2 linked regions of the Yarrowia lipolytica genome follow. The protein of the gene in region 1 interacts with the protein of each later gene in a pairwise test. Links are inferred from orthologs where the notes say so. Each region holds a gene or a part of one and is shown on either strand. Other genes may lie near its edges.

Evidence for each region. The genes of interacting proteins can lie anywhere in the genome.
Region 2: the proteins of YALI1_F00229g (region 1) and YALI1_E35181g interact in binary tests that used the Saccharomyces cerevisiae proteins (3 or more experiments, as listed by UniProt). The link is inferred for Yarrowia lipolytica from reciprocal best matches to the Saccharomyces cerevisiae genes APL5 and APS3.

The regions. Positions count from the first base shown.
Region 1 is NC_090775.1:20,750-26,757, reverse strand, and holds YALI1_F00229g (uncharacterized protein), read right to left. Parts: upstream 3,850-6,008; coding exon 3,794-3,849; intron 3,681-3,793; coding exon 1,247-3,680; downstream 1-1,246. Other genes in the region: YALI1_F00261g (uncharacterized protein), read right to left, coding at 1-606; YALI1_F00207g (uncharacterized protein), read left to right, coding at 5,854-5,935, 5,992-6,008. UniProt on the Saccharomyces cerevisiae protein: Part of the AP-3 complex, an adaptor-related complex which is not clathrin-associated. The complex is associated with the Golgi region as well as more peripheral structures.
Region 2 is NC_090774.1:3,515,883-3,519,896, reverse strand, and holds YALI1_E35181g (uncharacterized protein), read right to left. Parts: upstream 1,818-4,014; coding exon 1,248-1,817; downstream 1-1,247. Other genes in the region: YALI1_E35168g (uncharacterized protein), read left to right, coding at 3,031-4,014. UniProt on the Saccharomyces cerevisiae protein: Part of the AP-3 complex, an adaptor-related complex which is not clathrin-associated. The complex is associated with the Golgi region as well as more peripheral structures.

The sequences.
Region 1 (6,008 bases):
GGAATCAATGTCAATAACGATGGCATCGTTGGGGGAAGAGTCCATGCTGGTGCCCTGGGAAACCTCGCTGTCGTATTTGTAAACAATGCTCGAGGAAGAAAAGGTCACAGAAGGAGTGGCAGGAGCTTTTCCAAAGGAGATGCTCTCAACCTCAAAATCAAAGGCGGTGCCGTGTGCCCTGCAGTCAGGGGACAGGGTCACTTGCGAGCCTTCCTTCAGGGGATAAAAGGTGTTGAGCTGCAACTTCTGGCCGTCCAGCTTGGTGCCGTACTTTGCCTTGCTCTCAAACAGAAACAGCTGTTTATCCGTGGCTACAAAGCTGGCGTGGTTGCGAGACACGAGGTTGAAGGCCTTGGGGACATGGATGTTTTTTTTGTGGCCTCTGGGTGACCCCAGGGTCTGCTTCTGCGCGTCGGTGAGCTCCACGTCGAATGGTTTCATAGAATCAGGCTCGAAAGAGACACAGTCCACTTCGCCGCTGCGAGTCCAGTCGTTTCGTCTGGAAAAGAGCGTGAAGGAACATCGTCCCTTGGTCTGCGAAATCGCAGAGCTGGCGGGAACGGTAGAAGGTGTGGTCTTGTCAGCTTCGCCCGTGGTGGGAGACATTGTAAGGAGACTTAAAATATGTAGAGCGTGTCGGTGTCGGTGTGGTGTGTGTTTGTTGTTGTCTGAGAGGTGAGAGAGAAGACACACTGAAGTCTAGGTGGCGAAGGCTTTATCAGGAACCCCAGAAGCTTAAATGTATAGAGTGCGGAGTATTGAGCGCTGCTGCTGTGGTTACGGGACAGATGATACAGTACAGGCTATAGTATCACCTGCAACGTATGTGTGGGGCTGCCCATTGTTGAGTGGAAATGACCAGTCAGATGCGCGGGTCTGCCGCGGCAAAATGCTACACGCGAGCGTCTCAAGTGACACAAACACGCACTCCAAACACCAGGGTCTCTCTTTTTTTTCCCCGCTGGTTTACGTTACGTCCCAATTATTTTGGGCCGGTGCTCTTCTCCTTCCTCCCAAGGTTCTCGCACTTGCACCTTCCCTTTACTGATTGTCCTAATCTTACTGACAGCATGCTTGTTCAACGCCACAGAAAACTTGATAGGAACCCTATCTAAATTAGTACACGTGATACATGCATTAGAGTTTTAGAACGAGCACAACCAGCTTGCTACGATACGATACGAGACTGTACCGCCATGCTTGAGCTACAGTACAAGTGTATGGTTAATTACAATACATCTATGATCTACTCGATGACGGCAACCCGCTTCTTGCGCTTCTTCTCCTTGACCTCGCCATCAGCCCCCTCCTTCTTGGCCTTGCTCTTGGGCTTCTTTTCCTTGTCCTTTTTGTCCCTCTTGTCCTTCTTGTCCTTCTTATCTTTCTTGTCCTTGAGCTCCTGCTTCATCTGCGCAACCTCGGGCGAGTCCTTGTCGTCCTCCAGCTCAAACTGGTCGAGCTGGTTGGGCCGAATCAAAACGTTCTTCTTGACGTTCTTGGTCACCTCCAACTTGGGCACAATCTCGCCATCAATCTGCTCGTCCTTGATGATCTTAATCTTGCGCTTCGGCTTGGTCTGAATGGGCGGAGTCTTTATCGATGTCTCGTTGATCTGCAGGTCCACCACGGGGATGGAATCGACGTCCACCTGCTCGTCCTTGAGAGGATTGGGCGTAGTGTCTCGAGAAATGTAGAACGGATCATCCTTCTGCTTCTCTAGTCGCTCCTTACGAGCATCCAGTAGACTCTCCTTCTGCACTCCACTGACCGTAGAAGCAAATTGGGGGGTAAACTCCTCCTCAACATAAACCTCCTCGTCCTCAATGTCAGAGAATTCCACTTCCAGGGTCTGCTCAAGCTCGGGAGGGAGCTCCAGATCTAAGAATGGAATTCTCTTCTGAGTGTCTGGTGCCACAGGATTCAGTTCATATGCAAAGAAAGACGGCAGCACCTCGGTAAGAAGCACAGGCACACCCTCCTCCTCCAGAGACTCGGAAATGACCTTGAAGAGCTCGGAAAACTGGGTGGCAAAGTCCTGCAGCTCGTAGTCCGGCGACGCAAGATATGACGACAAAAACTTGATCACATTGGTCACAGTCTTTTTAACATAAAGCTCGTTGGGAGATGACCAGATGATGCCCTCGCAGAACTTGCCAAACACCTTCACGATGCATACACAAACGGCCAGATCGACAGCATTGTTGCTGCTGCCACTGTTCTCTCTGACGTGCGAGTATGAGTTGAGGCAAAAGTCCAAAATGTCCTTTTGTCGATGCATGGGGTACTCGCTGAGACAGAAGAGAACGGGAGGCAGGACGCCGGGGTTCCGGAGATACACACCTCCGTCTGTGAATATTTCGTAGCAAACTCCGGTAATCTCCTCTCGCATATCGGGGACTCGCATGCACAGATCTCGGAGCGTTTCTCCGATCCGAGCAGGGTCTTCGAGAGGGAAATCGACCAGTGCGAGCTTCTTGAGCACATTCAAGAACCACTCAAAGTCGGAAATGAGTGAGTATGTGTCTCTGCAGCACATGTCCAGAATGTATGAAATGGACGCGTGGGTAAGTTGCTGGGAAAGCAGCAGGTTCACAATGGTTTCAACATTGTGTTCCGATGCAAGATCGTTGGCAAGCTCCAGTGCTCGTTCTCGGATCGTGGAATCGGCGTTTTCCTTGAGGCATTCCAGAATGACACCCTGCAGCTTTCCAACAAGAATGGGATGGACCTTGACGATCTTCCCAAGCGCTAAAAGACCCACGTACTTGAGATTCTGGTCGCCTTGGTTCACAAAAGACGACAGCTTCTCGACACAGACACCAGCCACATCGTGGTCGTCTTCTCCTAGCATGCCTCCGCTCACAATGCAGTTGATGCACTCGTACTGGAGGGAGAGTGCCGAGGTGGACTGGATCAGGGTCATGATCTGAGGCAACAGCTTAGGTTTAAGCCGAGGCTCAATGGGTGCCAACGACGAGAACAGCTTGAGGATCTTAATCATCATCCAGTTATTGGAGGACGTGGTCAGCAGCTGGTAGAGTTGTGGGGCCAGGGGCACGTAGTTCTTTGAGTGCTTCTTGGCGAGCTCACAGATCACGTTGACTGTGGCAGAAACAACTGAGGGGTCTGAATCATCGAGTCGATCTCTGAGACGAGAGAACGACGTCCGCAGTGCCTCTGGGTACTGGAGGAAGATCTTATACATTGCCAGCACTGCCTTCTTTCGGATGTAGGGTTTCGAATGGGACAGCATTTTGACAATTTCGGGGTGCACGTCCTGAGCGAGTGAAGGGGTGACAATGGTGGCGATTGCGGATAGAGACACGGACACCTCGACCGGCGAGCTTGACGTCAGATCACGTTTAAGGAGGTTGGTCGCAAGCATCAACACATCGTCGTCGTCACGGTAGGACTGGATGGCAGCGAGGTAGCCCACTCGTTTTTGTTGGAACTTTGGCGAGCTCATGACCTCCAGGACGTGGAAGGAGGCCCACGACATGTCGTAACCCAGCATCTCCAGATATGCCAGTTTGAGGATGGCGAGTGTCTTGACGGTCAGATCCTGGTTTCGGGCCTCCTGGTGGCAGTCGGACACTGCCTGTTTGAGGAACCGCTCTTTGGCGGGCAGATCTTTGGCGGCTCGAATACCCTTAATGAGATCAGTTAATGTTGATTCGAATCTGTGTTAGTGTGGCTGTGGTGTTGTGGTTGGTTAATGGCTCACTGGTGTTATGGTGAAGAGGGAACCCCATGACCTCTTCAATCACACGACTGCTGCATTCTGCATACTCACATGACTCCAAAAGGCCGCAGCCGATTTCGTACATCATCTCTGGTCGTCAACGACATGGTTGTTTCGTTTGTGTGGTGTGCGTCTACTGTCGAAGCTTACTTGTCATCCCCCGGGTGTCACGTGATCGTCGGTGTCTGTGATGAATGATGGATGGATGGTGGGCATTTAGAGTTCGGGTTGTGGTGCTCAACCACATGCAGACGCTTAGCGTGTTATCGAGAAATTTAATTCGTCCGAGCGAGATATGCGGGATTCGGACTCCGACAGACTCCGAAATTTGCCAGAGGCATGTCAGGGCCACAATTGCCTCTCTAGAGCCTCGCCAAGAGCTGTAGAAACATGTTAAAACTAACTCCGGGTTAGTTTTTTTAGTCCGAGGCTAAGCTTATGGCATTCAGGAGGCTTTTCTTTTTCTCGAGTGACCGGGACATGACTGAGGGCTGTTGGAGTTGCTACAAGTCCTCTGTAGCTGTCGTTGATGGGCCCCATCATCCAAAACGGTTCCCGTTGACGTCTTTATTACAGTTTCATCCATCTCCTGGAGCAGATGATGCATGACTGAAAGGAACAAGGCACCCCATTCGGATAAAGCAACAAGCTTGGAGCAACAGTAGGCCGTGCGGATGGACCAGCAACGGCTTCCGAAGACCAGCGAATTGATTAGGACTAGAGGTGCAGCTAGGAGCAGTTTAACCTTGGCTTCTTCGTCGTTCTGCTCGTGTGATCACACAAGTGCAAGATTTTCACTGATTATCGTCCACGGTTTAATTTATCAGATGCTAAAATTTGACTCGAGCTTGTCCCGACTTTGTTCCGACTTTTTCCCGAGCTTGTGTCTATAGTAGAATGTCTGTTGAACAAGAGTTATCGGCATGTGTTCCCTACTTGACAACAAGACCATGTCCACTTGTTGCTCCAAAGCCAAGAAAGAACTCATCACGTCACACCAGATTGGAGTTATCAGATGCGATTATCTTTTGGTTTGTAGTTTATTTCTCTACTTCCTTTCTTCGCCGCAATGCACTCTGGAGCTACTGCTCTCCAATGATGTGTCTTGTCGTCACTGCCGCCGTTCTCCAGCTAAACGTGACACACATTTCTTGCCTTGCCTTTATGCTTTCCCGAGACGCACATAGGAAATAGAGTCGAAACTTTTGTGAGCGCCGTGTTGATTGGGCGGCCATATGCGACTGCCAGGACCGGTGACCTGTATCAATAGCACCCCAGAAGAGCGCTGCTATCGAGCCCGAAAGAGCATGTTTACCAGAACCGATCGTTTAGCGTGGTTTTGGCAGCCCCAGCTCCCATTGTCAACCTAAATGTCCATGCGACCTTGCAGCGTGGATCGCAGTACGAGAAAGAAAGGACAGACCTTGCAAGAGCCCAAAGCTTGACCCCAGACACCGCGACTTGTGACGATTGTGAAATAGTTGTGTGGTGTCAAATGACTCAGCATCAACACCACCTTACTCCGTGGTTCAACACCAGACCTGAGACTCCCTTACGACACCCTTTGGACACCCTTGCGACACCATTGCGATGAACGCACGCATGTCCAGAAACAAGCCTAACAAGAGCCGCCCCTTAATAACGAACATGGTTCCCCTTATCCGCCTTTTCATGCTGACGCACCTCCGGGGATCTAGCACAGAACTCTGTGTGTAGGTGGGCTTGCCAAGTCAGCGGGGTAGTCCACGGAATGTAGTTGGAGCTACCGGGCCAGTCTGTAGTTATTGTGTGATGTGTATACACGTGCGTGAGGTCTCCCAGAGATGGTTCCCTTCATCTGTCAATATTCTCCAACGCTCAAGTTCCATAGACTTTTATGTGCATAAATTTGCGCTTCAGACACGACCTTGATACAAAGACCCCGAGCTAATTGTACGGCTATATGCTTTTGGCTATTTTGATACAGTCAACACCCAGGACACGGACACACGCACACACCTAAAAAAAAATTAAAAAAAGAGAAAGAGAGAAACACTCATAATAAGAAGGCCTCGACCAACTGAATTTTCTCCCCGACCAGTCCGTTCTCATATCACACACTATTCAACAACATGTCGCTCACGTCGCGGGAAATCCGCATGATTGCGTTGCTGATTATCGACACTTGCTTCTTCCTGCTTGAAGCCATTGTTGGTGAGTACTGACGAAACGATACAAAACCAGATCTACCATCCCCAGCTCTAACACAGGTTATGCCGTTCATTCA
Region 2 (4,014 bases), on another chromosome or scaffold:
ATCAGCAAAGGTATTTTTACGACCTGAAATCAGCCCATAGGCATCATGAGTTAATCGTGGATATGACAGCTCTCCAGCAATCCAAGCCGATATATAAAATGCACTAAGCATGCGCTGGTTCCGGACTAAAAAGCTCGATTCTGGTCTGATCCATAGGTTGATAGTTAAGCTACAAATATTATATGCTTGTACAAGTATATACTCGTACTCGTACTTTGTTGTTATTACAAACGCGTCCTACACAGTAGTACCGGTACCGTACTTCTGCGAGTACGAGTACCAGCCACTTGTTCTTGTAGATAGCTTGTAGAAAACGGACAACCCTTTGCTTAATTATGTTTACGAGCTCGCTATGTCAACCAATGTTCAGCTTTCGAAGGGATTGAGCACATCTACGTGTCGCCACACTACCAGATGTAATGTTTTGATCTAAAAAACTTATGCTTGTAGGTACTTGTAGACTGGTTTACTCTTTGAAACTGGTCCATTGAAAGCTTTAGACCTCATTGTTTCACCATAATTTGGAGATCGGTCTCGTAAAAGTGCTTGTATGCTCTTTTGAATCTACAGTAGATGTTGTTGGGCTCGATTTGGCACTGAAAAAGGACTCTTTGCTCATGAATATATATGTCGAGTACATACTGGCGGGCTGGCTCAAAGGTTCTGGCTCATGGTCGCTCTTATTGCTCTTCGAACTCATTACCGTAATAATGAGGGCTGAAGGTTGGCGCTACTGGCACTGTGAACTTACAGGCTCTTCGGTCGTGTCTGGACCCTGGGTATGACGCATTGGTAATATCTGTTGTACTTGTACTATCGCTACATGTACTACAAGTAGTAGCTCCTACTTCTGGTGTAATTACCCGATCTTGGTGAGTGTCTAGCCACAGTATATCTCATATAACACAAACATGGTGCGTGGTGCTGAAGATAAAGAGGAATATATACTGGTAAAAGAGGAACATGATTCTGCATCACTTGTGGGGCTTGTAACAGTTCGAGTATTATGGTGGTTTTGGGATATGACGGTGAGCAGGTCTGTACGCCCTTGTGACACTAATAGCCAGTGGACAAGTGGCTTGATACGAACCGTCACATTCCAACTGTCAATAATACATTCATTCATTTTACATGTGTGCAGTACTTCATGTACGTGACACCGTTCTCTATGCTTCCTCACATCAGACATCCACTACTTGTAGTCCTCAGGCATCCAACATTTTTTTCATAGTCACAGCCATATACAATTATCGGTAGGACCATCGTCCCTCCTTGGCCATTTGACTGATGGCGTTTGTGGCTCCACTGAGAGCGTTGGCGAATCCTCCGCTCGCACCTCCCTCCTTCATTTCCGCACTACCGTTACCTCTGTTAGCCTCGTCGACAGCAGCGACGATCTTGGTCACTGAAGTCTCCACGACCATGCCTCCCTGAATGATTTCTCCCAGCACGGTTTCAAGTGTTTGCCACCCGAATACCAGATCCAGCTCACAGACGTTCTCGAAGCACCGGTCCAGGCACTCCACCATGACCTGGATCAGATCCAAGATGCCGAGTTCGGATTCCTGCTCGTCGACTACAAACACAAAGTATAACGTGGCGTAGTGCTTGTATATGACACGGATGGTGTCAACATCCTCCTGGCCCTGGAGAAGAGGAGGAGGGGTGAGGAACAGACATGCGTCTGGTTTTCTTGCCACCAGCAGAGAATGCACCTGCTTGAGAAGCGTTTGTTGTGTTGCCAGGTCCACGGGAGCGTAGAATTTAGTCAATCGTGGCAAGCCCGAATTGTTGAAGATCAGTACCGAGTGGATCATTACCTGTAATTAGTGTGTGTGGTTGACGATGGTGGGCGATGATGGAACTCTGCAGCATTTAGGTGGTTGGTTATTAGAGTTCAACATGACCCAGAAACAGAGAGAACTGCTCTTGGAGATGTTGTATTTGTAGTACTTGTAGGAACTTCTGAGAGGAAGTAACATTCATTGCTGAAAATTTTCAATGCATTTTGACCCTTGTCCCTACTTAGTGTTTTTATTATTCAAGTCCCATAGAAGGTGCTTACTGTATTTGTACTCGTAGCTAGCTATACTGCGTGGTTTCGGCTGAGCGCGCCCTGTATGCATGCTGATGGTCAGTAAACTCATATAGCGAAAGTTCGGACTGGTATAGAGCGGGGTTGTTCGAAGTGAGTCTATGGATATCTTAGCAGGAAAATTTTGCATCCACACATATTCTTCCATGGCCATTTGGTCCATCCTCGAGTTTCGATCGTTTTCCCTCTCGCAAGCGTCACTACTCGTACAAGTACAAGTACAAGTTGTACGTGGTAAATCTGGTGAAGATATTCGAGCTGACCCTTTCCTATCCAACTCGACTCTCCTCCTTCAATCTACAAGTACACGGCAAGCACTTATTGGATACTTGTACCCCACAATCCTTTTTAAGCGGGAGCCCGGTTATTGACTACCCCAATAGGTCCAACTCCAGAAGTTTTTCCCTGCTAGTTGTGGGGTGTGAGCCGTTCATAAATGCACCTTACACAGGGTCTACAAGTAGTGGAAATGCTCGATGAGAAGAGCCTCGGATACGCCTCGGATAATTAACATACTAACCACTCAAATTTTCAGCTACGGGCCTTCCAAGTTAGAGTCTTGTAGCTACTGTACTTACAGTACACTCACTAACGTGCGCAGGCATGTACTTGGTCGCTCCTGCCATGCCAACGGTCTAATTAACGGTATTTTGTGCAGTGTACCAAGAAACGGTGGAAAGCCATTAAGAGAAGCTGATCTTTGGCATATCTCGGCTCGAAACGGCATGCATACACTCAAACCTCTCAGGCTATCGATGGAATGTTCCCCACTTATCTGGGGACCCGAAACGATAGACTAGTGTGTTTACCCCAGTGTCTAGTACAATTATGAGATCCCCACTCCACGGCTCTGAAATACAAGTAGTGTCATCCAATGTATCTACAGTATATATATAAGAAATTGCCAGAGAAAATCCCGGGGCCATCATCTCGCAATGACCTACGACGACAAGGACGACAACTTCAAAGCTACCATGTACCCTTCACAGGGGGAGTACCTTTCTGAGGTTGAGCAAGTTGAGTACAATCCTCAGGTTGAGTACGACTCCCATATTGACTACAGTCTGGACCCCACTCCGGAGTTTCCCGAAAATGGGACTCTCAAGGACGCTCTCAAGGACACACTAGCTACGACCACCTCTGTCAATGACGAGTCAGTCCGAGAGGGAAGCGTTGACCCCAATAATGAGAAGGATGGAATCGACTACGAGTATGAGGAGATCTATATGGAGCACGAGCATTACTCTCACACTTGGGCCAACTACACCGACGAGTGGAATCCTAATGGGTTGAGAAAGGTTGAGGATGGAGATATCGCACTCCGAAGAGTCTCTGGACCAGTTCCAAAGATTACCTACGTTTTGGCACTTGTGGAGTTTGCCGAACGAGGCTCTTACTACGGTCTTACAAACGTCATCTCCAACTTTGTTCAGTTTCCTCTTCCAAAGGGGGGCAATGGCTGGGGAGCTACCCCGAAGGACTCTCAGCTTACAGCTGGAGCTCTCAACCAGGGTCTTCAAGTAGCCACGGCTATTACTCTTGTTCTCAATTTCCTTTCCTACCTGACACCTCTTCTTGGTGCTTATCTTGCGGATGCCAGATACGGACGATACCCCACTATTTGGGCAGGAACTATTGTTTGTGGAATTGGACACGTTATTATCGTTATTGCTGGTGTTCCTGGAGTGATTGAAGCCCAAAAGGCTTCTCTGGGTCTATTCATTGCGGGTCTGATTATCTTCGCGTTTGGAACCGGTCTGTTCAAGCCCAACTTGCTTCCGTTAGTGATGGAACAGTATCGAGAAGACGATGATTGGGTCAAGACACTTCCATCTGGGGAACAAGTGGTGATAAACAAGGAGACCACTCTGCAGAGAATGACCCTGGTTTACTACTGGGCTGTCAATGTCGGTGGTTTC